Linked DNA regions of Arabidopsis thaliana. The protein of the gene in region 1 interacts with the protein of each later gene in a pairwise test. Each region holds a gene or a part of one and is shown in the gene's direction. Other genes may lie near its edges.

Evidence for each region.
Region 2: the proteins of BOA (region 1) and AT5G01380 interact in a two-hybrid assay, tested with the Arabidopsis thaliana proteins (one large-scale study listed by BioGRID).
Region 3: the proteins of BOA (region 1) and ZAT7 interact in a two-hybrid assay, tested with the Arabidopsis thaliana proteins (one large-scale study listed by BioGRID).

The regions. Positions count from the first base shown.
Region 1 is NC_003076.8:24,000,994-24,010,314, forward strand, and holds BOA (Homeodomain-like superfamily protein), read left to right. Parts: upstream 1-2,894; 5' UTR 2,895-3,053; coding exon 3,054-3,950; 3' UTR 3,951-3,993; intron 3,994-4,167; 3' UTR 4,168-4,360; exon of another isoform or gene 4,361-5,242; 3' UTR 5,243-5,245; coding exon of another isoform or gene 5,246-6,129; 3' UTR 6,130-6,218; coding exon of another isoform or gene 6,219-6,696; 3' UTR 6,697-6,851; downstream 6,852-9,321. Other genes in the region: SRR1 (sensitivity to red light reduced protein (SRR1)), read right to left, coding at 1-581; UGT76E1 (UDP-glucosyl transferase 76E1), read right to left, coding at 5,246-6,129, 6,219-6,696; UGT76E2 (UDP-glucosyl transferase 76E2), read right to left, coding at 8,159-9,024, 9,109-9,321. UniProt on the Arabidopsis thaliana protein: Transcription factor that is a critical component of the regulatory circuit of the circadian clock. Binds to specific sites on CCA1 promoter leading to CCA1 activation.
Region 2 is NC_003076.8:153,410-160,777, reverse strand, and holds AT5G01380 (Homeodomain-like superfamily protein), read left to right. Parts: upstream 1-3,176; 5' UTR 3,177-3,326; coding exon 3,327-3,662; intron 3,663-4,358; coding exon 4,359-4,994; 3' UTR 4,995-5,168; downstream 5,169-7,368. Other genes in the region: AT5G01390 (DNAJ heat shock family protein), read left to right, coding at 1-278; ACI1 (ALC-interacting protein 1), read right to left, coding at 6,483-6,817, 7,255-7,368. UniProt on the Arabidopsis thaliana protein: Probable transcription factor that binds specifically to the core DNA sequence 5'-GTTAC-3'.
Region 3 is NC_003074.8:16,923,681-16,929,783, reverse strand, and holds ZAT7 (C2H2 and C2HC zinc fingers superfamily protein), read left to right. Parts: upstream 1-2,900; 5' UTR 2,901-2,973; coding exon 2,974-3,480; 3' UTR 3,481-3,903; downstream 3,904-6,103. Other genes in the region: HRS1 (Histidyl-tRNA synthetase 1), read left to right, coding at 1-8, 179-253, 398-515, 597-739, 814-942, 1,038-1,340; AT3G46086 (uncharacterized protein), read left to right, coding at 4,526-4,642.

The DNA.
Region 1 (9,321 bases):
TTTGCTTGCAATAGGTTGCTGTATAGATTGGCCTCACAGTGTGGCATGAAGAAAAGAGTAGGCTTTAAAGCTTCCCTACGAGCTTGCTCATTCACAGATAGAACACTGCATCCCAAAGATTCTAGGTAACTAGATTCAGTTGCAGAGAGAACTGGGTCAAACACTTCAATGTTATCACCAACCCAATCAAACTCTCTCTTCATCAAGATTGCAATGCTCAGCTGAAACCTCGGAGATTCATAAGACTCAATGCTACCTATACCGTACATCACCATCTGCAACTGTGTTTCAGACCCTAACACGAGGCGAATCTGATTCGAAACCTCAGGAGACTTAAGCTGCTCCAAGAATGCTGTGTAAAAACTCGAGCTTTCGATTTTCTTCAGAGAGATTTCCATCTTCTGCTTTAGTCTTGCTTGTCTCTGTGGATCAATTTCAAGATCATCTGATTTCCATGGTTGCTCTTCTTCTTCTGCTTGACCTTTAGGTTTCGGTTTTCTTCTTCTTCCTTGTCTTCCTTTACTAGGTAAGACTACTTTCCACTCACCATCACTGCTTGAGTTTTTAACAGTCGTTTCCATTGAAGCTTCCACAAGAAACTGGTTTTCCTGATCTACTTACTCCACAGTCCCCCAAAATTAGGGTTTCTACTCAATGCAATGATTCCATTGGTTCCGATTACCTAACATCACAATAAATTTCGATTCCTAAACCTAATTATCAATCTCTTTGCTTAACTCTGATCTATCTACTTTGAGATTGACAAAAATCTTCGATACCGAGCAAAATTAAACTTACGATTAGAGACGAAAACACAGGAGGAAGATCGAAGAAGCTTGCTTGAAATACAGAGGAAGCAAAGAACGCTTCGAATATGTGGTGACCGAGTGGACTCAGTGAGACATTTGTGAGTTTGGTGCGCCGAGTCGCGCGGCGATAAAGTGAATCAGATGATTTGTACGCGAAGATTTGGTAAACAGGTATTGGGCTAGAGGAAATGGAATGGGTCTAGATACGGCCCAATAAAGGCGCGAGATAGAGACAACTGAAGTCTTGTTTCCTGTTATTTCTTTTGATTTTGTTTTACTAATCTAAATATACTAAATCAGCAGTCAATTTTCCAATAACTGATGCATTCAGTGATTGACACATCAGCTTAGTACTACTTTTTTATTTTTTCATTTTTACGCATAGTATGTGTCGTTTTTATTTAACTTTGTTTCATTCTCAAACGATTTTCTCTTTCATCCCCACGATCTCCACATCTCCACTTTCTCTCTTCCAAAAACTCCATGACTACTGTGTAAAATCTCAAAGATGGGTTTCTCAACATCATTAATCGATTACTCAGAAATCAGGTACTTTGTTCATCTCAATGAACCAATTTACCATCTTCTATTTTTGTTTGTAATTTTGTTTTATATATATAGAATTCTCCATAGATCCGAAAATCATATATCCTTCTTCTAGATTTCTATGGCTTTTTTTTTTTTTTGCTTTGTTTCTGCTTTATTTGACTGAATTCGATTTCTCTCATACATCTCCATTTTTCCATAGGATTATTCTTTAATACAATCAATGCCTATGATTCTCCCGTCTCACAAACACTCAAAGAACAACGACAAATTTTGGCTTCTCATCTGAACAGTTGCCTTAAAACAAGGGTGAGTTTAATATCTTAATCGAAGCTCAAGTGTTTTTTTAATGGTAAATTAATTCTCATACTTTTTACTATTCTTCTTTCATCTCTTATTTTACTTCTTTATATTTGCAATTTCTTTTTTGTATTAAACCGCAATTGTATTTTCACGCAAGATTTTTGTATTAATACAAATACTTCAATTTTAAAGTCATCTCTTATTTTACTTCTTTATATCTGCAATATCTTTGATATTGTTTCAAAGGCAGCGTCTGCGTTATGTAGTTACTTACTTGTGCACATTTTACATTTTTTTTTAGACTTCCAAGCTTTGGGTGTCAACGAATGTTTGTAAACTGAATTACTGATGATGAGAAGAAGAACACATTACAATTGGTTGGAGCTAATGATGAAATAAGCGGACATGTATATACCCAGCATAATTTTCGTACTTATACTCTCTTATATTTCTAAACTCTTGATTTGTTAGTTACTGTCTATCGCAATTGATTCATTGGGTAGAAAAGTTGTACCTTCTTTATATCTTTTTCTTAATCTTTGTATATTCTTCAGTCAATGATAATAAATTTGTTGTATATTTATGCTGTCTGCTTTATTTTAAAAATCTTAGTTAAGAGTTGTAGCAGATATAATTTAAAACAATGTTGTCCCTGCATAGTAGGGGCCAAATGCTAGTAGTAGTTTAAAAGTAAAGTACGTAAAATAAAATAACGTGTATTTTTCATTATAGGAAATGTAGTTTAGGCCGTTATTGTTCTTTTTCATTATAAAATAACGTGTATTTTATGTGTTGCTGTTTAACCCTAAACTCAGACAGCGAATGTTGAGTTCCGATGCAGTGGTGTATGGTTTGCGGATACAGTAAAACTTTTATAAATTAATAATATTAGAATTGCGAAATTTTGTTAATTTAAACAAATATTAATTTATAGAGAAATTTTTTAAATTTAATAATTGTTTTAAAAATTGAACTCTTTTCGTAGCCCAAACCCACCGGTATTGAACTCTTTTTGGCCCACTTAGCCACGTTAAAGGGTCACTTGTTACTAGTTGTAATTGCAACTATCTGCCTAAACCGTCGTGCCTTTTGTCTACATTCTAGAACCATGCACTAATGACGTGGCTGGAGATAAGTTGGTTGATTACACACGTGTCACTTAGACAGAGCGAGTAGACTTTGATGCGGGTAAAAGATATTTTAGATTATCTAGCTCGCTAGGCCACGTTGGCGGATATTTGCACTTTTTCTTTTTTTAAAAAGAAAAAAAACTAGGCTCTACGAATTTTCCGGTCACCTTCTCCGATCTCTGATCCGATATTTTTCCACATGTTGTTGAGCTTTAAAGGATTTGAAACCGTTATGAAAGTTATGAAAACGAAGAGTGTGTGAAACATGGGGAAGGAAGTTATGGTGAGCGATTACGGTGACGACGACGGAGAAGACGCCGGCGGCGGCGATGAATATAGGATTCCGGAATGGGAAATTGGTTTACCCAACGGAGATGATTTGACTCCGTTATCTCAATATCTAGTCCCGTCGATTCTCGCGTTAGCTTTCAGCATGATCCCAGAACGAAGCCGTACAATTCACGACGTCAATCGCGCGTCGCAAATCACGCTCTCTTCGTTGAGAAGCAGTACCAATGCTTCGTCTGTGATGGAGGAGGTCGTGGATCGAGTTGAATCGAGTGTTCCAGGATCAGATCCGAAGAAACAGAAGAAATCGGATGGTGGTGAAGCAGCGGCGGTGGAGGATTCCACGGCGGAGGAAGGAGACTCCGGGCCTGAAGACGCGTCTGGGAAGACATCGAAACGACCGCGTTTAGTGTGGACACCGCAGCTACACAAGAGATTTGTGGACGTTGTGGCTCATCTAGGGATTAAAAACGCAGTGCCGAAGACGATTATGCAGCTGATGAACGTGGAAGGACTTACTCGTGAGAACGTTGCGTCTCATTTGCAGAAATATAGGCTTTACCTTAAACGGATTCAAGGATTGACGACGGAAGAAGATCCTTATTCGTCGTCGGATCAGCTCTTCTCTTCAACGCCGGTTCCTCCACAGAGCTTTCAAGACGGCGGAGGAAGTAACGGAAAGTTGGGGGTTCCGGTTCCGGTTCCGTCGATGGTGCCTATTCCAGGCTATGGGAATCAAATGGGTATGCAAGGATATTATCAACAGTATAGTAACCATGGCAATGAATCAAACCAATATATGATGCAGCAGAATAAGTTTGGAACAATGGTGACATATCCTTCTGTTGGTGGTGGTGACGTGAATGACAAGTAAATGGATCTTAAAGGTCTATAATTTGCTCTACAGAGAGATACTGGTGAGCTTGTTTTCGTCTTCTTCTTTGAGATTCTTATTCTTTGATGTTTGTTCATGTTACTAGCAAAGTGTTACAATTTTCTTGGTAGAGTGTTATGGTCAAATCCTAGTTTGGTGTTGTTATATATTTACTCTGTCTTTGCAAGTAGTTGATCTTAATTGATTCTTGTTACAGGTTCTTGGCTTATGGTTTATTTTCCCACTTCATGAGGTTGTTGTGACTTTTAATTCTCCATGTTTTCCACACAAGTCTTTATTGCCTTTGTATAGAAAATGATTTCGAGAAAATCACTGGGAAGCTTGGTATTGTTGGAGGATGAAGCCTTCTATGAATGATTTAGTTTCCTACTGTCTCCATTCTTTATGAGGTAATAAAGCCTTCTTTTGCTCATCGCTTGTAGTCTTCTTAAATTCAAGACAGCGTCACATGTTTGTTCGGTTATGTTAATTGTTTCTTTCTTTGGATAATGAAGATAGCATCAGGTCTCATGTCTCCTCACTTTGATAAATATCTCTTTCATTTATCATTTTCTTCTATTAAAATAGTTTTTCTCTTTCTTAAGAAAAGTATCTTTTGATTGTGTTGGATGGTCATACACCAATTAACTCCCAACCACAAGGAAGAAAGTGACATTTCAACCATAAGCTCGTGTTTCTTTGCCCACAATGAGTTAGTAGTTTTAGCCTTTTAGCCATATAGTTTTCATTTGGTAAATAATCTGTTAAGATCTTTAAATCTGCAAACTAGATGAGAATCCATAGAATATTTCTGTGACCAATGTAGAGTCGCCATTAGAAGATCACTTTTCACCTCTCTGTTTTGTTTCATTCAAAAGATGTTTCTCTAACGTTATCTTCATATTACTTCTTTGTGGGTCACTCGTGTCTCCTCTACCCTTCCTAAACTTACAACAACTGACTCAAACTGTCCTTGAAATTTCCAATGCGCCAGTCTTTTCATGGGACTTAGTTGAGCTGTTTAGTTTGGTGACAGTGAAATATTATTAAAGTAACCTAAATGAAAGTTTCAAGTGGTTGAAACGTGGCCTCAGCAACTGTAATGGAGAAGCCCAAGCTCTTTATCTCTTATCATGTGAACAATGATTTTGTCTATAAATGCAGAAACTCTTTTATTTTTAGATACAACTGCCAAAACATTACTCTAAAAATAGAAACCATCTCCTTTTATGCCATTTGATTCATGATGATTATAAAGAATCTCTTCTGATACAGTTTTGACTTCAAAACAGGGACTACATGAAATTCATCATTTTTAAGGAATTGACAAAGTTGTCTAATGAGCTGAATGAGGAACCTCTACTCTTGACAGAGGCTTGAAGCTTCTCTTTCAAGTTGATAACTCTCTTCCTCATTTCTGCTCCTTCTTCATCCATAATCAATCTCTCTACAGCTCTCTCCACTGTTCCTTTATCCAGCTCTCCTTCCAATTGAACCCCAATTCTCCAAACTCTCTCTAAGTACCTCGCATTGACTTTCTGATCTCCCGTAAAAGGCCTACAGATCATCGGAACTCCTTCCCCGATGCTCTCTAGGGTCGAGTTCCATCCGCAGTGACTCCAAAACCCTCCCACTGCAGGATGTCTGAGAACTTCTATCTGTGGTGCCCATTTCACAATGTAACCTCTTTCTGAAACCAACCTACTGAATTCCTCCGGTAAAGACTCTGTCCATTCCGAGCCGGGAATAGAACCCGGTCGGATCACCCATAAGAAAGGTTGGTTGCTATTACGTAAACCCCAAGCCATCTCCAACATGTCTTTAGTTTCCATTAGAGCCAAGCTTCCCAAACTTATGTAAATCACTGAGCCTATTTTTTGCTTGTTCAACCACTCAAGGCAACTCCTGTCCTCTTCAAGTAAACTAGAAGGCGCTGAAGCTGCAATGTGAAGTGGGCCTATAGGATACACTGGAACTTGCAGTTGTTTTTGTAACCATGCCAAAGATGAGCTCTCTAGACAGCTTGTTGAGTTGATGATAACTGCCGAAGCTGTTCGAATGTTGACAGTCTCACTGTAAACCTTGAGTATACTCTCTAATGGCCCAAATGCTGAAGTTGGCAGGTCCTTGTACCTTAGCGGATGCAACCCTGGAAATTCCTTGTCTGACACTTTGGGATCTGCAAAGCAAACAACAGCATTTGGATTGGTTTATATACCTAAATGCACTTTTAAAGTTTGAGTTAACAAGCTAAAAAATCTTGAGTACCTTTCATGTCAAGCAAGAATGACTCTGCGTTGACTCTAGACAAAACAGAGCGACAGACAAAGGCAGTAGCACTTGTCGTGCTGAAGAGGACGCTAGGAAGTTGAAACTCTTTAACTGCAGCTTGGGAGAAGTACATGTACTCATCGTAGACGACACAAGCGATATCATTACCTTGCTCCTGCAATAGTTGACCAATACATTGCTTGAAGCTTGCCTCGCAAATTTGATTGAGCTTGAAGAGAAACTTGAATGGTCCAAGGTTTTTGAGATCAGACTCGGTCAAGCTGCCTGGGATGGTGAGGAAATGAAAATCAGAGAAGTCCTTGGATGAGCTAACTCGATTATACTGTGTGAGAACAACAGTGATGGAGAAGCCCTTGGAGTAAAGAGCCTTCCCGAGTTGCATAATCGGAGTTACATGACCTTGTGCTGGAACTGGAACCAATACTATCCTTCTCTTCACTCCTAGTTCTTCCATTGTTTTTCTCTCTTGGAGTCTTGGTCTCTCTCTTTTTTTGGTCAATGTGTGAATGGAAAAATCTCAAAGACACATAAGGATGCTTAAATGCTTGAACCAGATCTAATTAATATGAAATATAGCACGTGGGATATATATTAACTGTTTCATTGGTCTCATCGACATGTTATTTATTTTTATCCCTAAGTGGAAAATTATGAGGTTAGGGAAAGATCTCAACATTGTGGAAGGAAGGACATACCACAAGAAAAAGCACGTGGAGTATATAAACTAGACAAAGAATTCCCAAAGTTACAAGGAAGTGACAAATTTGGTGACTAGCACCATTTAAGGCTTCCTTTTGTCATTTTCTTTATTAAGTTTGTTGTCTTGTTTTGGACCATTTTTCTAATTAAGTCTACCTCTATCATTTATTTACTTATTTTCCCTCTTGCTTAAGGTTAACATATAATTTCATGTCTGAACATAACAACTAGCACACTCGTTTAAATTATGTCGACGTACGTACACCTTAGAATTTCATTTCTGAACATGACATCTAACCACTGTAGCTGCCGCGTTGCCGTAATTCGGATTCATAACTTTGTAGTGTGGATGTATAGACGCGGCAAAAGACAAAGGATTTTGTATTTTTGTAGTTTACTTGACCAACATGTTATTTATCTAACTTCCTTCAAACCGTTGTTTTCTTATCAAACAAGATCATTACTTTTGATAGTAACAAAACCGTGATCTTCTAGTCCACCGAGTAGCCGTGGATCTCCTGCCCTGCTTCATATTCACAAGTGAGGTACAAGCAGGCAAAATGCTAGTAATCGTTGTTGAATTTGGATATAATATTCATGAGCCAACATCTGTTTAAAAGCATCAAGAGCTTTCTCATTCTGAAAATTATGTACAAGGACTTAAATAGTATAATTCTAAGACACAACCTCTGGCTTGTGACCATCAAAACGAGTTCGATTAAAGTAACTCAAAAGTAGTTGAGTTGGCGACAAAGTGAAATTAATTGGAGTAACTTAAAAGGGTTCAAGTAAAAATAGTTGATTTGGTATGGTGTCAAAGTGAAAATAATTTGCAGTAACTTTAAGAGTTCAAGTAAAAAATAGTTGAGCTGTTTGGTATAGTGACAAAGTGAAAATAATTGATGTAACTTCGAGGGTTTAAGTGATTGAATTTGGTCTAAGAAACTGTAATGGAGAAGCACAACATCTTTTATCTCTTATCCTGTTTGAGAGTAACTTAAAATAATGCTTCTGTATCCAAATGCAGAAACTCCTTTTTTTTTTTTTTGACAACAACGTAAAAATTCTTATTATAGAGACAACTTCCAAATATTACACTTAAAATAGAATTCATGTCCTGTATATCATCTTGATGCACTTTCGACTTTGACTAGGGACCTTATTTTTTTCTTTTTTTGCTAAGAGACTAGGGACTATCTTATCTCCCTTCATCATCTTCACATGGAATTAACAAAGTCGTCTAGTGAGCTGCATGAGGAACCTCCACTTCTAACAGAGGTTTCAATCTTTTCTTTCAAGTCAATGGCTCTCTTCCTCATTTCTGCTCCTTCTTCATCCACAAGCAACCACTCTACAGCTCTCTCCACAGTTTCTTTATCCAGATCTCCCTCCAATTGAACCCCAATTCTCCAAACTCTCTCTAAGTACCTCGCATTGACTTTCTGATCCCCGGTGAAAGGCCTACATATCATCGGAACTCCTTCCCCGATGCTCTCTACTGTTGAGTTCCATCCACAGTGACTCCAAAACCCTCCTACTGCAGGATGTCTGAGAACTTCCATCTGCGGAGCCCATTTCACAATGTAACCTCTTTCTGAAACCAACCTATTGAATTCCTCTGGTAAGGACTCTGTCCATTCTGACCCCGGAATAGAGCCCGGTCTGACCACCCATAAGAAAGGTTGGTTGCTATTACTTAATCCCCAAGCCATCTCCAACATGTCTTTGGTGTCCATTAGAGCCAAGCTTCCCAAGCTTATGTAAATAACTGAATTTGATTTTTGCTTGTTCAACCACTCAACGCAACTCCTGTCTTCTTCTAGTAAACTAGAAGGCGCTGAAGCTGTAATATGAAGTGGGCCTATAGGATACACCGGAACTTGCAGTTGTTGTTGCAACCTTGCCAAAGATGAGCTCTCTAAACAGCTTGCTGAGTTGATGATAACAGCGGAAGCTGTTCGAGTGTTCACAGTCTCACTGTAAACCTTGAGCGTACTCTCTATTGGCCCAAATACTGAAGTTGGTAGATCCTTGTACCTCAGAGGATGCAACCCTGGAAATACTTTGTCTTGTGTTTCAGGATCTGAAAAGATAACATCGATCATTTGGATTAGTTTCTATAAATAGGATTTTGAATTAAGATAAAACAAGCTAGAATCTTGAATACCTTTCATGTCGATCAAGAACGACTCTGCGTTGACTCTAGACAAAACAGAGCGACAGACAAAAGCAGTAGCACTTGTCGTGCTAAAGACGACACTAGGAAGTTGAAACTCTTTTACTGCAGCATGAGAGAAGTACATGTACTCATCGTAGACGACACAAGCAATATCATTATTACATTGTTCATGCAATAGTTGACCTATACACTGCTTGAAGC
Region 2 (7,368 bases), about 24 Mb from region 1:
GAGACGGGAATGATCTTGTGGTAATGCAAAAGATTTCTCTAGTGGATGCTCTCACAGGTTACACCGCACAGGTCACTACTCTTGACGGAAGAACCTTAACAGTTCCGGTAAACAATGTGATCAGTCCGTCGTACGAAGAGGTGGTGAAAGGAGAAGGCATGCCGATCCCTAAAGATCCGTCAAGAAAAGGAAACTTGAGAATCAGATTCATCATCAAGTTCCCTTCGAAGCTAACCACTGAGCAGAAATCAGGGATCAAGCGGATGTTATCACCTTGAATGTCCAAAGATTGAAGCATCTCGTTTCAGTTTTTTCAATCTGCTAGCTTTTTTGGAATCTTTTAGAAGCAGAATATGTGCTTATGGTTTTTTTAATTTATTTTGGTTGCATTTTGGTAAGGTTTTTAAGGGAAATACATACCACCAAATGATGCCGGTTTAGTTAGTAATGACTGACGACTAGTGAAGTAAAGTCTCTCCTTATATCTCTTTGCTAAAAGCTTCAATATTTGTTTAATAGTAAACATTGTCAACAGATTTGGAAAGACTAAATCAACGTTTAACAATATGTCAAAATGTAATTCAAATTGATTAATCATAGTAGCGAAATTTGAAGAACCTTTTTCTTTTGTTGATTAAAAAATCCAAATCTCTACGTTTTTCTCACATTCTTCAATCTTCTTGACCTTGTCCCGTTTAATTCCTTCACTAAAATCTTTTCAACCCTCACGTGCTGATGTTGACATGGAATAATTGTTGTTACTTGTCAAATAATAAGAAGAAGAAAAAACAGACTAATGTATGTTCCTCTTTGATTGTTCTGGTTAGGCAAATTACTTGCATATCTCCACATGTACGAATTAGTAATATTCATTCATAAAGTTAGTATGATTTATAGATTCAAAAAAATAAACACAGATCGAGTTTAGTTTAGTCAAATATTTGAATGTTTTCAAGAACAAGAAGAGTTTCTGCAATCAACTGAAATATCATTTTCATGGTCTTGGTTCAAAACCAGCAGTATTACAAACAGTGAGAAAGGTTTTTGGTATTTGTAACAACAATGTATTGTTGCAGTGACTCCAAATTCAAAAATGGAAGTCATGTGCATTCACCAAGTTACGGCAAAAGTAAAAGACTAAACTTATTACTATTTCCGAATAATCCGGAGCGATACCCTAAACAACATTCACCTCAAAAGTTCTAAATAACACGAATAGGCTGATTTTTGTATATATGCTTTTGGCTGACGTTTTTTTTTTGTTCTTTGCTTTAAGACTTCAATTCTTTTAAGCAAAAATTTGGATGGGAAATAAAAAGGATGATGAGGTGGCCTACTTGTATTGAGCGGATAAACATCAGCCAACAAAAATCTTTGTTAAAATAAAAAGTGAAAGACAGAGAGAGAGATGGCCACGTGGACAAACATGGTGGGCGTTTACACGTGGAATATAACAACACTCCGCGTTGCTGATTATTTGATTCCATTTAAATAAAATTAAAAAATACTGATTATTCTTTCTTTTGTTCACAGAAAATTCCTTCATTCACAATTTCTCTTTTAAATAATTAAAGACCACAAATTTTGAACATAAGAATTAGAAAAATTAAAGATCATTCACTAGAGTAGTCGACATTATTATTAATTTAGTATAAATAAATAAGGTGTGAATCCACGTGGGATGACAGGTGGGAGCGAAGTCTAGTGCATGTCATGTAAGATTTTGATTTACTTTCAACACGCTTCATCGCTATTTGGACCACTTCGCTGACTTTTTTTTGTTTTTTTTTTTACTACTGAGTAGTACTAGTATTTCTTACACATATCAGAGCCAAAAATACAACCCCGACGAATCTTTCTTTAGATACAAATAAAAAATATTTACTCCTACAAGTTTCATTCACCGTACGTTTTACTTGTTATATCATTGCAATGACGCGGCTTCTAAATATGTACTACCATATGTGTGTTTGGGAATCTGACAGTTGTATATTGCACTGGATCCAAACCATTTCAGAACAAGAGTACATTTTCTCTGTTCGTACGCATTATTTGTTTTGTGCCGACTGCGAATATAACGATTTCCATTTATTCATATACTAAATATCATACAATCCATAAATGAATAGTCTTCTTTTTTTCTTGGGGGAATTTACAATTCCAATCAAATTAATTTCTTAGCTAATCATAACGGTAGTCTTGTTTTCTGTAACTTAATTCTTCTTCTTTTTTATTTTGATAGGAACGTTAGGTATCTATTATGTAAAACTTGCTAACAACAATTCTCTAATTCTTTGTTTATATCTGATCTCTTCCTCCATGACACGGGGCTAATCTAAACTTCTAAAAGCATATTGATCCAATAGCTTATTTAATATATTTTGTCTGTCAACCATTAGGTTACTTTTGTTACGATGAATTTTTCAAAAGAAAAATACAAGAATTATGGGATGAGGAAAATCTAGTGGGTCAATTGACCATAAAGGCTAAATCGGATTGAAGAATAAAAATCGGATTGTGACTCGTAACTCGTAAGCGTGACGAAATATTAACGCAACATTTATATGTATTGGGACAAATTATTAACGAATAACTACCAAATGCAAAAAATACGAGACAGTTGAGTACTTGAGCTTGGTCACAAAATCATCATCAAGGAAAAACAATAACCATACAGTAAAAATATAGTTCTACAACTTTACAAATTTGAAAGCGTGTTTAGAATGATGCACACAAATAATCAATCTGTCAAAAAAAAACATATTGTTTGATTTTACTCTAAGATTAAGGCGATTGTTTTTACTTAAGATATTCTTAACTGATGCAAGTTACCCCTGTAATTGTTTGAGATTGCTATTTTTAAACTCTAGAATACGAAGAAAAAAAAAGTATGAATTATTTAGTTAGCTGCTTTAAATCTAGAGTTTATCATCCGAAAAAGGGATATCTAAGCTTTATTATTTTTAATGTAATCACGAATTGTGTCCTTTTCACCAAAAGAGTCATTCGTGTTCGTATTTTATTCAACTAAATAATTCTATAAGTTCTAGTATATTCAATAATTATTAAAAAATCTCATCTTAATAATTTTAATTAGAGAAAAGAACAAAAAACTACACTTCTATCGTCCCTCTACGATTTCACACCTTCTTTTCACACATCCTTATAAATTAATTAGATTCTTCTCTTTTCTCTCCTTCCTCTCTGTCTTCTCTTCTTTTTTTCAATGAAACCTCTCTTCATTTATAAGTAACCCAACAAAAAAATAAAATTATCTCCCTCTTATTTCTTCTCTTCACGTCACAAAGACAATTCGATTCCAAATAATGGACCGACGTAACCCTTTCCAACATCACCACCACCACCATCAGCTTCATCATCACTTGATCCAACAGCAACAGCTTCCTCCGCCGCCGCTGAGCACCACGGCGACGATGGATCCCGGCGGAGGAGGAGGAGGTGGGGAGAGAATCCCACAGTGGAGCATAGAGGAGACAAAGGAGCTTTTGGCTATAAGAGAAGAACTTGATCAAACTTTCATGGAGACCAAACGTAATAAGCTTCTTTGGGAAGTCGTGGCTGCTAAGATGGCCGACAAGGGTTTTGTCCGAAGCGCAGAACAATGTAAGAGCAAGTGGAAGAACCTCGTCACTAGATACAAGGTTACCCTTCAACTCTTTAGAATCCTATTGATGATTCTCTCTATATATAGTCCCGATATATACACCTATAAATGTTTAGTATGATCATGATTACAAGTATATACAAACTATAATTATGTGTATCATGTATTTCATCACTAGTTTGTGTGGTTAGACTGATATTATGCATATTGAAATGGAAACCTAGTTTATGGTGTATGTATAGGTGAACTACATTATATATACATCAATTAATGAGCTTAACCTAATCGCCTAGGTTTTTTAGATATTGTCCTGTCATTAATGGTAACGAGCTATAGAATAGAATTTTACGCGTTTATTGGTGAGCTTTCATCATGATATTGTCTATGTTCACATTTTGATCCGTTATACCATAATATCTCTCTTTTTGTTCGTTGATCACATGGTAAGTAAGTAACACAATATGCCATAAAAATATAATTACCGTTATATAACGGGTGCATAAGATTTAATAAGAACCGTTACTGATGAACACATGAAGATAGTTGAAAAAGTCTATACACACATTTATTTAAGGTAAAAGAAACGTGATATAGATGATGAACATGTGTTTTTGTTTTCCTATGATATATGATTTCGAGTTAAGATACTTGGTTAGCTAAAATATTTTGCGTCGGTACTATTACGTGTTTACATATAATTGTTTATATAACATAATGAATATTCATGGGACAGGCGTGTGAGACCACTGAGCCAGATGCTATTAGGCAGCAGTTCCCATTCTACAATGAGATTCAGTCGATTTTTGAAGCAAGAATGCAAAGAATGCTGTGGTCAGAAGCCACAGAACCAAGCACTTCCTCGAAGAGAAAACATCATCAATTTTCATCTGATGATGAAGAAGAAGAAGTTGACGAACCAAATCAAGATATCAACGAGGAATTATTGTCTTTAGTAGAGACACAGAAAAGAGAGACAGAAGTGATTACTACTAGTACTTCGACCAATCCAAGAAAACGTGCAAAAAAAGGAAAAGGCGTTGCGAGTGGTACGAAAGCTGAAACTGCGGGTAATACACTAAAAGATATATTGGAGGAGTTTATGAGGCAAACGGTGAAGATGGAAAAGGAATGGAGAGATGCATGGGAGATGAAGGAGATAGAGAGGGAGAAGAGAGAGAAAGAGTGGCGGAGGAGAATGGCGGAGCTAGAGGAGGAAAGAGCCGCCACAGAAAGGAGGTGGATGGAGAGAGAGGAAGAGAGACGGTTGAGAGAAGAAGCTAGGGCTCAGAAGAGAGATTCTCTCATCGATGCTTTGCTTAATAGGCTTAATAGAGATCATAATGATGATCATCATAATCAAGGTTTCTAAGTTCTCATTATTTGTGTTAAGCATAAGTTAATTAGCTAGTTAATTTGTTAGGCAAATCAATTTAGATAATATATCTAAATTAATGTTTGTTTTATAATATTTATATGAACTATTGAAATTTCCAAAAAGAAAGATAAATGTTCAAATTTTGATATATGTTATCGTGGTATGAAAATGAATTTATCCTTCTAAAAACAAAAAAAATCCTGGTGGAGAAAAATAAACCTTCAATATTAGAGGAAGAAAAATAAATAGAGAGGGAGTAAAACGAGCAGGCAATTACTAAATATAATATAAGGTAACATGTGAATTAACTAAACGATAAGAATAAGAATTAATAAATCATTTAATAGTTTACGTACATGCATAAAACAATTGTATAGATATTAATTAGATATGCTAGTTTGAATTATATTGTTCATAGTTATAGGTGTCCAAAACCAAATTGGTTGAATACTTTTAGCTACTTTATTCTGTTAATAAGAATATTTCATAACGATTAATCAGGCGATAAACAAGAATTAAACAAAAGTCTTTATTCCAAAACTTTCAATTCACATTTGTCCCACATTACTTCACCGCGTTATTTGTGTGATATATAAAACTTATTTTGTTCATAAGTAAATTGTAAAGAAAGAATTTGTTATTTTTATTCTTTTCTTCTCTTGCAAGACAGCTACCAACAGATAAAAATACCGAAAACATGAAACCGTGTTATAACGCGTTCACACTAATATATCCGTTCATTTTAAAAAACACGTATTACTAATACGCCGCGTCAGCTCAATTGTATAGAGCCGTGTGACCAACTCTGTGAGGTCACCAGTTCGAATACAAGGACCTTCAATATTTACCACTTTTTCGTTGGCAAAAAAATAGTTTATGACTAAATGAAATAATTATAATTCGAAACTTAAATAATTTAGAGTGGGAAAATGTTCTTGAATTTTACATGTGAACCCCCCAAAAAAAACACAGAAAAGTACAAAAAAACGTCAAAGAAGTAACGTTAGAAGGAGACCATGATTTGCATGTGAAATAGACATAAAGGAGACAGTACGTATTTCGAAGTTACGGAGCTCTCCAAAATTCAGAAGAAAACCGATTTGACCGTTTTTGGACCCACTACATGTATTTATAATGCATTTGATAATTCGTCATATCGAATTTGAATTTAATTTCATTCTTATGATCGAGTATTCGAGTCACTAAGATTATCCTTGTGCTTATTTGGTGATATTCGCCATATACATACTTGTGTTTTGGATAGGTATATTTGTCTATAGGACTATTTAAGACGAGTACATTATAGTCTTTAGTACTAATCATAAATGTTAACCATAATTTTTCTGGTCAATAACTTATATTGGCCGCATAACACTTTTAGAAAATATGGAGTGATGAAAATTTCGATTGTTGTGAGTCTCTGGTTAACATTTGGATTACAAGATTTTAAAACGACATATTTCTGATAATTGGGAATTTAAACTAGATACAGAGTTCATCAACTAGCTGGTCCATAACAAGGTCAAGAATCTCTTGACCAAATTCGACACAAAAATCTTCGACCTGAGTAAAGTCAACGGGTTTAGTTGACGAAGTAGAAACCCAAGTGGAAGACTTCATGTCTTCTTCAGACAGATCTGAGAGCATATTCATTAGTTTTGTGATAAACTCTGTCTCTTCTGAATCATTGTTGGTGCTATTGTTGTTTTCTTTCTTGGTACTTGTTTTTGTTTTTGCTGGTGATGAAGAACATGAAGATTTTGTTGCTGTCTCTACTTGCTTTGTTGACAACTCCGATGCACTTTCTGAATCTCCTCCTGTTTTATTTTTCAAATTAAAGTGACGTTTAAAATATGATTGGGCAAATAAAAATAAAATTTCTCGAAAATGTTGAGAAAGTCTCATTTTCGCAGCTTTTTTTACAGTAAAATCAAGAAAAATGTTAAAAGCGAAAATGTTCTTATATTGGTTAAATTTAATCATTTTTCAAATAAATCCAACGTTTAAGGAAAATTCTTATATTGGTCAAATTTTGAATAATCTTATTATTTAGTATTTCAAATAAAGTGTACTGAATCGGTTAAAATGTTGACCAAATGACCAAATTTTTACCTCATTTGCAGTTAAAGTAGGAAACTACTCACATGAGATGATTCTTTTCGCAAAATTTCAAAGAAGGTTCAAAAAGCAATTAATTAAGTTCAAATATTTGTTCGAGAGATAAAAATGTTTGAATATTATTTCGTAGACTCACCTGAGAAGTAGTAATCATCGTCAAGGATTAGATAATCATAAAGATCTCGATCAAGAACCGAAACCGGACTCGCGTTAGACTTATTCTCCGGCGACTCACTCTCTTTTCCGATAA
Region 3 (6,103 bases), on another chromosome or scaffold:
GCCGCAAGGTATTTTTCTCTTTTGATGTAGATTATATATGATCATCTTGTTTCTTGGTTTTCCCCCAAGATACAGAATCAAGGAATTTACTTGCAACGGCAGACATGATTTGAGATTATTTTGCACAATCTGAATATCTACTGTAGCTTTCATCTACCATAACTTCTTCCTTGTACAGGTTTTACAAGAATTGCTAAAAAAGTATGGTGTACCCGAAGACCTGTTTGGAAGAGTTTGTATCATTATAGACAAGGTTCGTAGTCTAAACATCAATATACTACTGCTTTGAAATCAAGGCTACTTCATTTGCTGATATAATTAAATACTCCAGCTTTAGGAATGTTACTGTTGTTACTGATTTTGTCACCCTATTTTTTTTATGTTGCATGCTAAATAGATAGAAAAGATACCAATTGATGAAATAAAAAAGGAACTTGGGTTCACGGGGATATCAGAAGATGCTATTGAACAATTACTGCAAGTGCTTTCTGTGAAGTCCTTGGATGATTTGGAAGGTATGTCCTTCCATTATTTTTCTGGTGAGTCCTTTTCTCCGAAATTTTCTGCTGATAAGAATCTCTAATTTGTATAAGCAGATATAATTGGTGGAGCAGGAGAAGCCATTGCAGATTTGAAACAACTCTTCTCACTTGCTGAAAAGTTTGGTTATTCAGAGTGGATACAGTTTGATGCATCTGTTGTGCGCGGTCTTGCTTATTACACTGGTATCGTCTTCGAGGTTAGATTTTCTCCATACATGGATACTGGTCTATAGTTTTGTAATAGCAACTGATAGACAACGTTTTGTGATAGGGATTTGATCGAAAAGGGAAGCTGCGAGCTATATGTGGTGGTGGGAGATATGATAGGTTACTCTCTACTTATGGAGGTGATGACTTTCCTGCTTGTGGTTTTGGTTTCGGCGATGCTGTAATAGTTGAAGTAAGTTAAATTTGCTTCTGGTCACTATTATAACCCGCAGCGAATAGTTGTGGGTCTCTGAATATCTGGTTCTTATTTTTGCCACTTTCATTTAGTTGCTCAAAGAGAAGGATTTGTTGCCAGAACTGGGACAAGAAGTAGAGAACATAGTGTGTGCGTTGGACAAAGATCTCCAAGGAGCTGCAGCCACAGTTGCAACAGCTCTCAGAGACAAAGGCCAAACCGTTGATTTGGTATTAGAGAGTAAACCGCTGAAATGGGTGTTCAAGAGAGCAGCTCGGGTAAACGCAAGAAGGCTGGTTCTGGTTGGGAAAACAGAGTGGGAAGATGGTTCGGTCAGTGTTAAGGTGTTGTCTTCAGGTGAGCAGTTCCAAGTCAAACTCAGTGACTTAGAGTAGTATCTTAAGGCTTTATTAACATGATGAACCATTGTTTCATTCTCCTTACGGCTTACTATAGTAAAAGAACCAATCATTCAAATCTCTTATTCGTCAAAAGTATTGAATTATTGATTCGGGAATACAATTATGGATCGAATATAATTAAGTAAACATGTTTAAAAAGCTAAATTTGATCTTATTATATTATCAGGGTAAGAATAAGATGCTTGTAGAACTCTTAATTAGGTGTAGTAAACTTCAACAATCAAAGTGTTTATACTAATGATCTTGTATAGATATTATGCTATATACATGTTTCTCTACTGGAGGATGAATATGCGAGAGAAATTTAGTGGAAAACAACTTGTGAAGAGGTGTTGTGTGTTCTAAGAAGAAACCGTGTGGAAATGTATCAAAAGTCTCGCATCATATCACTTTCTCCTTTCCTTGTTTTCTTCTGATTTTTGCTTCCAAACATTTCTCTCTAGTTACCGTACAACCGCGTCCTCAATTCTCATCTTTCCGAGAAACACACACACACACCTCTTCTTGTCTCTCATATGTACGTTACTGCGAGGATGATATGATATATGACAGAAGTTACAAAGATTATACAGAAAATCTATTAAAAAGAGAGCAAGAACGTACAACAAATTGACATTGATTAATTTACAAGGTATATCGTAAGGTACATGCCACTATTTATGTGTTGTTTAGAAGTTGACATGAATTAAGATATATATATATATATATATATATATATATATATATGGTATCCAAACAGTCGTATTTCAATCGGTGATCATATGGAGATAATAAACATAACAACACATATAAAGTTGTAGGTAGTTTCGTTAGTCTTAATTTGTCCAGATAATATTGCGTTCTATACCCTAGTTTGGTCTTTTGTTGGAGAGTGTATGATGTATTTATCACAAGATGGTCCCAGCCAAAACATTCCAAAAATGCCTCCGAAAAAAACAGCAACACATAAAACACCAAGTGGGGATTTGATCTAGTGGGGGAATCTCTTATCCTTCCAAAAAAATGAGGTTATAGAGACACCTAGTTCGATTTTTGATGAGTTATTAAATTATTCGTTGATAAACTTAACGAATAATATCGACTATCCAACCAAGAATATTCTAGATGCATCAAGACTGTGTATGGATAAGTCAGCAAATACATTCATTTGCTCTATCCATATAGAAGATTTAAGTTCACAAAAAAAAAATCTAGAAGACGGCTTAAAAATGCATGAACCGACGTCAAAAAAAAAATATGCACGAACCAGATTTTAATAACTTCGACGACCAATGAGAAAGATAATAAGTTGTTCTAGTAGTCTTCAAATATTGTATTTTGTGGAGGAAAGCACCAAGAACATTCCTTTTCGTAACACTTGACTTTTTCATTTTTCTGAGTCTCCTAAGTGTTACGCGTGACGCGGTGACGCTAATAATCATATTTCCTTACACTTTAGCTTACTTACGCAGCAAGCACAATGGGTATTTTCGTCAATTAATATTAACTAAACTAGATTCTAGTATATAAATAGGAGTACTCATCACACAACACACACAAACTAAAAAACCGATCATAGAAAGGAAAAAAAAAATCAAAACCCTAGAAGTCACTAAGTCGATTCAAAATGGTTGCGAGAAGTGAGGAAATTGTGATAGTGGAAGAAGATACGACTGCGAAATGTTTGATGTTGTTATCAAGAGTCGGAGAATGCGGCGGCGGCTGCGGGGGAGATGAACGTGTTTTCCGATGCAAGACTTGTCTTAAAGAGTTCTCATCGTTTCAAGCTTTGGGAGGTCATCGTGCAAGCCACAAGAAACTTATCAACAGTGACAATCCATCACTTCTTGGATCCTTGTCCAACAAGAAAACTAAAACGTCTCATCCTTGTCCGATATGTGGAGTGAAGTTTCCGATGGGACAAGCTCTTGGTGGTCACATGAGGAGACATAGGAACGAGAAAGTCTCAGGCTCGTTGGTTACACGTTCTTTTCTACCGGAGACGACGACGGTGACGGCTTTGAAGAAATTTAGTAGTGGGAAGAGAGTGGCTTGTTTGGATTTGGACTTAGATTCGATGGAGAGTTTGGTCAATTGGAAGTTGGAGTTGGGAAGAACGATTTCTTGGAGTTAAGTTTTTGGGTTGTATACAGTTTCACATGATTTTGTAATCTTTGTTGATCCAATTATCGTACCGATCGATGTGAATATTATTTTGATACAATATCCGAAATTTCTTTTACGGTTTACTAATTTTTTTGGTTTCTTTAAATTAACCCTTGAAGGTTGAGCTATATCAATGGTTTTAAGTAGTGTAAGAACTATATCATTAGTGTGGTCAACTAGAAAAACAAGAACTCATTGAAGAAGTATAACCAGAGACGAGATTAAGCTATCCAACCTCCCTTGCTCTCTTACAAGAATCGCATATCCAAGGGAAGAAATGCAACTAAGAAATTGTTCTATAAGCTGAACTTAGTTTGGATCATTCTAATATAAGTAGTTATGATTCCTAAATGTTGTCTACGGTTTTTCTTTTTTTTCAGTTTTTTGGCACCCGTTATCTTAAGGTTATCTAGTACTAATATTAAAAGAATTACCAATTATTCAAATCTGTAATCGTCAAACTACATATTGAATCATTGGATTGAGATTCCAATAGTGTAGAAATAATGAAGTTTAAAATTGAACAGTCGAGCTAGCACATATAAATAATCAGGTAAACTTATGTAGTAAACTTCAACAACCAAATGTTTTATACATAATATTTTTGTTAATTATATATATATATATATATATATATATATAATCTTATATGGATGGTATGATAATTGCTATACATATTTATCTAATGGGAGATGAATATGAGAGATAAAACTTTGTGGATTTAATCTTGTGAAGATGTGTGTGGTAAGAAGAAACCGCATGGAAGTGTATCAAAAATGTCGCATCAAATCACTCTCTCATTTTCTTATTTTCTTCTGCTTTGCTTCTTAAAGTTTCTCTCTAGTTTCCATATAACCACTCTTTTCACACTTTCTATTCGTTCCCTTCTCGGCGACTCGTGCGAGAGCCACATATCTCTACTTGTCCCTCATGTACGTTACTGTGAGAAAATCTTATATTGGTTTTTTAGAATGAGACGATCTGAATAAACTATACAGGTAAGTAGCTAACCTATGAGAAAGATTATAAGGTGTGTGTATAAGGAGTATGTGATCGGGGACTTTGAGTTTCTGCCGTGGACGGCCCATCCTCGGACCTCCAGTGAATGGCTTCTAGAGCTAAAAGTCTAGCGCAATTCAGCATTTTCAAGTTGCAGTCACCTTTCTTTTTCAACAAACTTATCTCGAGATAACTCACAATCGTAGTAAAAAAAAAAAAAAATATGTAGTCTAGAATATATTAGGGCTGACACTGATACTTGATAGTTGATACCCGTATTCGATCTTTTACCCGTTTCACAAAAAGGGTAACTGTAACCTTCAGTTCGGTAATGTGTTATAAATCTATTACTCGTGGATAAGGATCGTGTATCGGATATTAATTTCTTTTTAATTATCTGTCATGTTACCCGCTTTACTACGAGATCACTCATAGTTACCCGTTTTATTAGTGTTTTACAATATTACTAAAATTTTATAAATACTTTCTAAAATGAAAGTTAAAATCTATGTTTGTAATTTTATATCTTTTAGAATTGTATGTTGCATATATGTCTTTGTATATGAAATGATTATGCATCTACGAAAAACATTACACATGAATTAGCACAAAATAGATGTACAAAGGTAAAGGGTCGGGTATCACTATTTTTACCGAGTATCTGTAATTTACGGATAAAGTAAAAGTAAAAACAATTAGTACCCATAAAGATCGTATTAAATAAAGGATACCTCAAAATTCAAAAGTACACGTCCCGTGGCCACCCTTAGAAAATATGTACACCATAGTTATTTTCTTTGTTCAGTCGTAATTCAATCGGTGATCTGGAGATATAACAGCATATATATGAAGTTGTAGGTAATTTCGTTGTCTTAAATAGTCCAGATAAAATTCCCTCCTATACCATAGTTTGGTGGAGTATGACGTTTTCTATATACAAAGAGTACGACGTTTTCTAAATATATATTCAGCGGTGGTGGAGAGGTGGTAGCTGACTAATAGCAATGTGTAAAATTTGTTCCTCTTCTAGTTAAATTTTTACTTCTGTTGGATTATTTATCTCTCGATTTTACTTCAAATCTTTAGTTTAATGTGTTTAAATTTGTACCTACAAATTTTTCTATCTACAGATTAATCGAGTTGCTGCCCGAGTTACCACATAAGATGATAAATAATAAAATATTATAAGCATATAATATGAAAAAAAAAATCGAGTTACGTATAGAAATTGTAAGAACATCTACAATGGGAGTATGCAAACAAGATATTTCATGTAAAAATAATAAAAAAAATTGGAAAGAGAAATGAGAAAGAGTTCTTCTTTGATAACCTTTGATATCTAAACAAAAACTCTTATTGACATTTGTCACTCTCTCATTTGTGTATCACTTGTTTTAAAATTAAATTTTAGTTATACAATTAAATTAAACTAAAATAATGATATTTTAATATTGGAGATGCTCTAATTATATAAAAATGAATAATCTATGACTAGTAACTAAATTAGTAGATAAGTTTAACGAATAAAAATATTGACTATCCAACCTAGGAAAAGTTCTATAGATGTAGACTGTGGATAAGTTAGCAAGTAA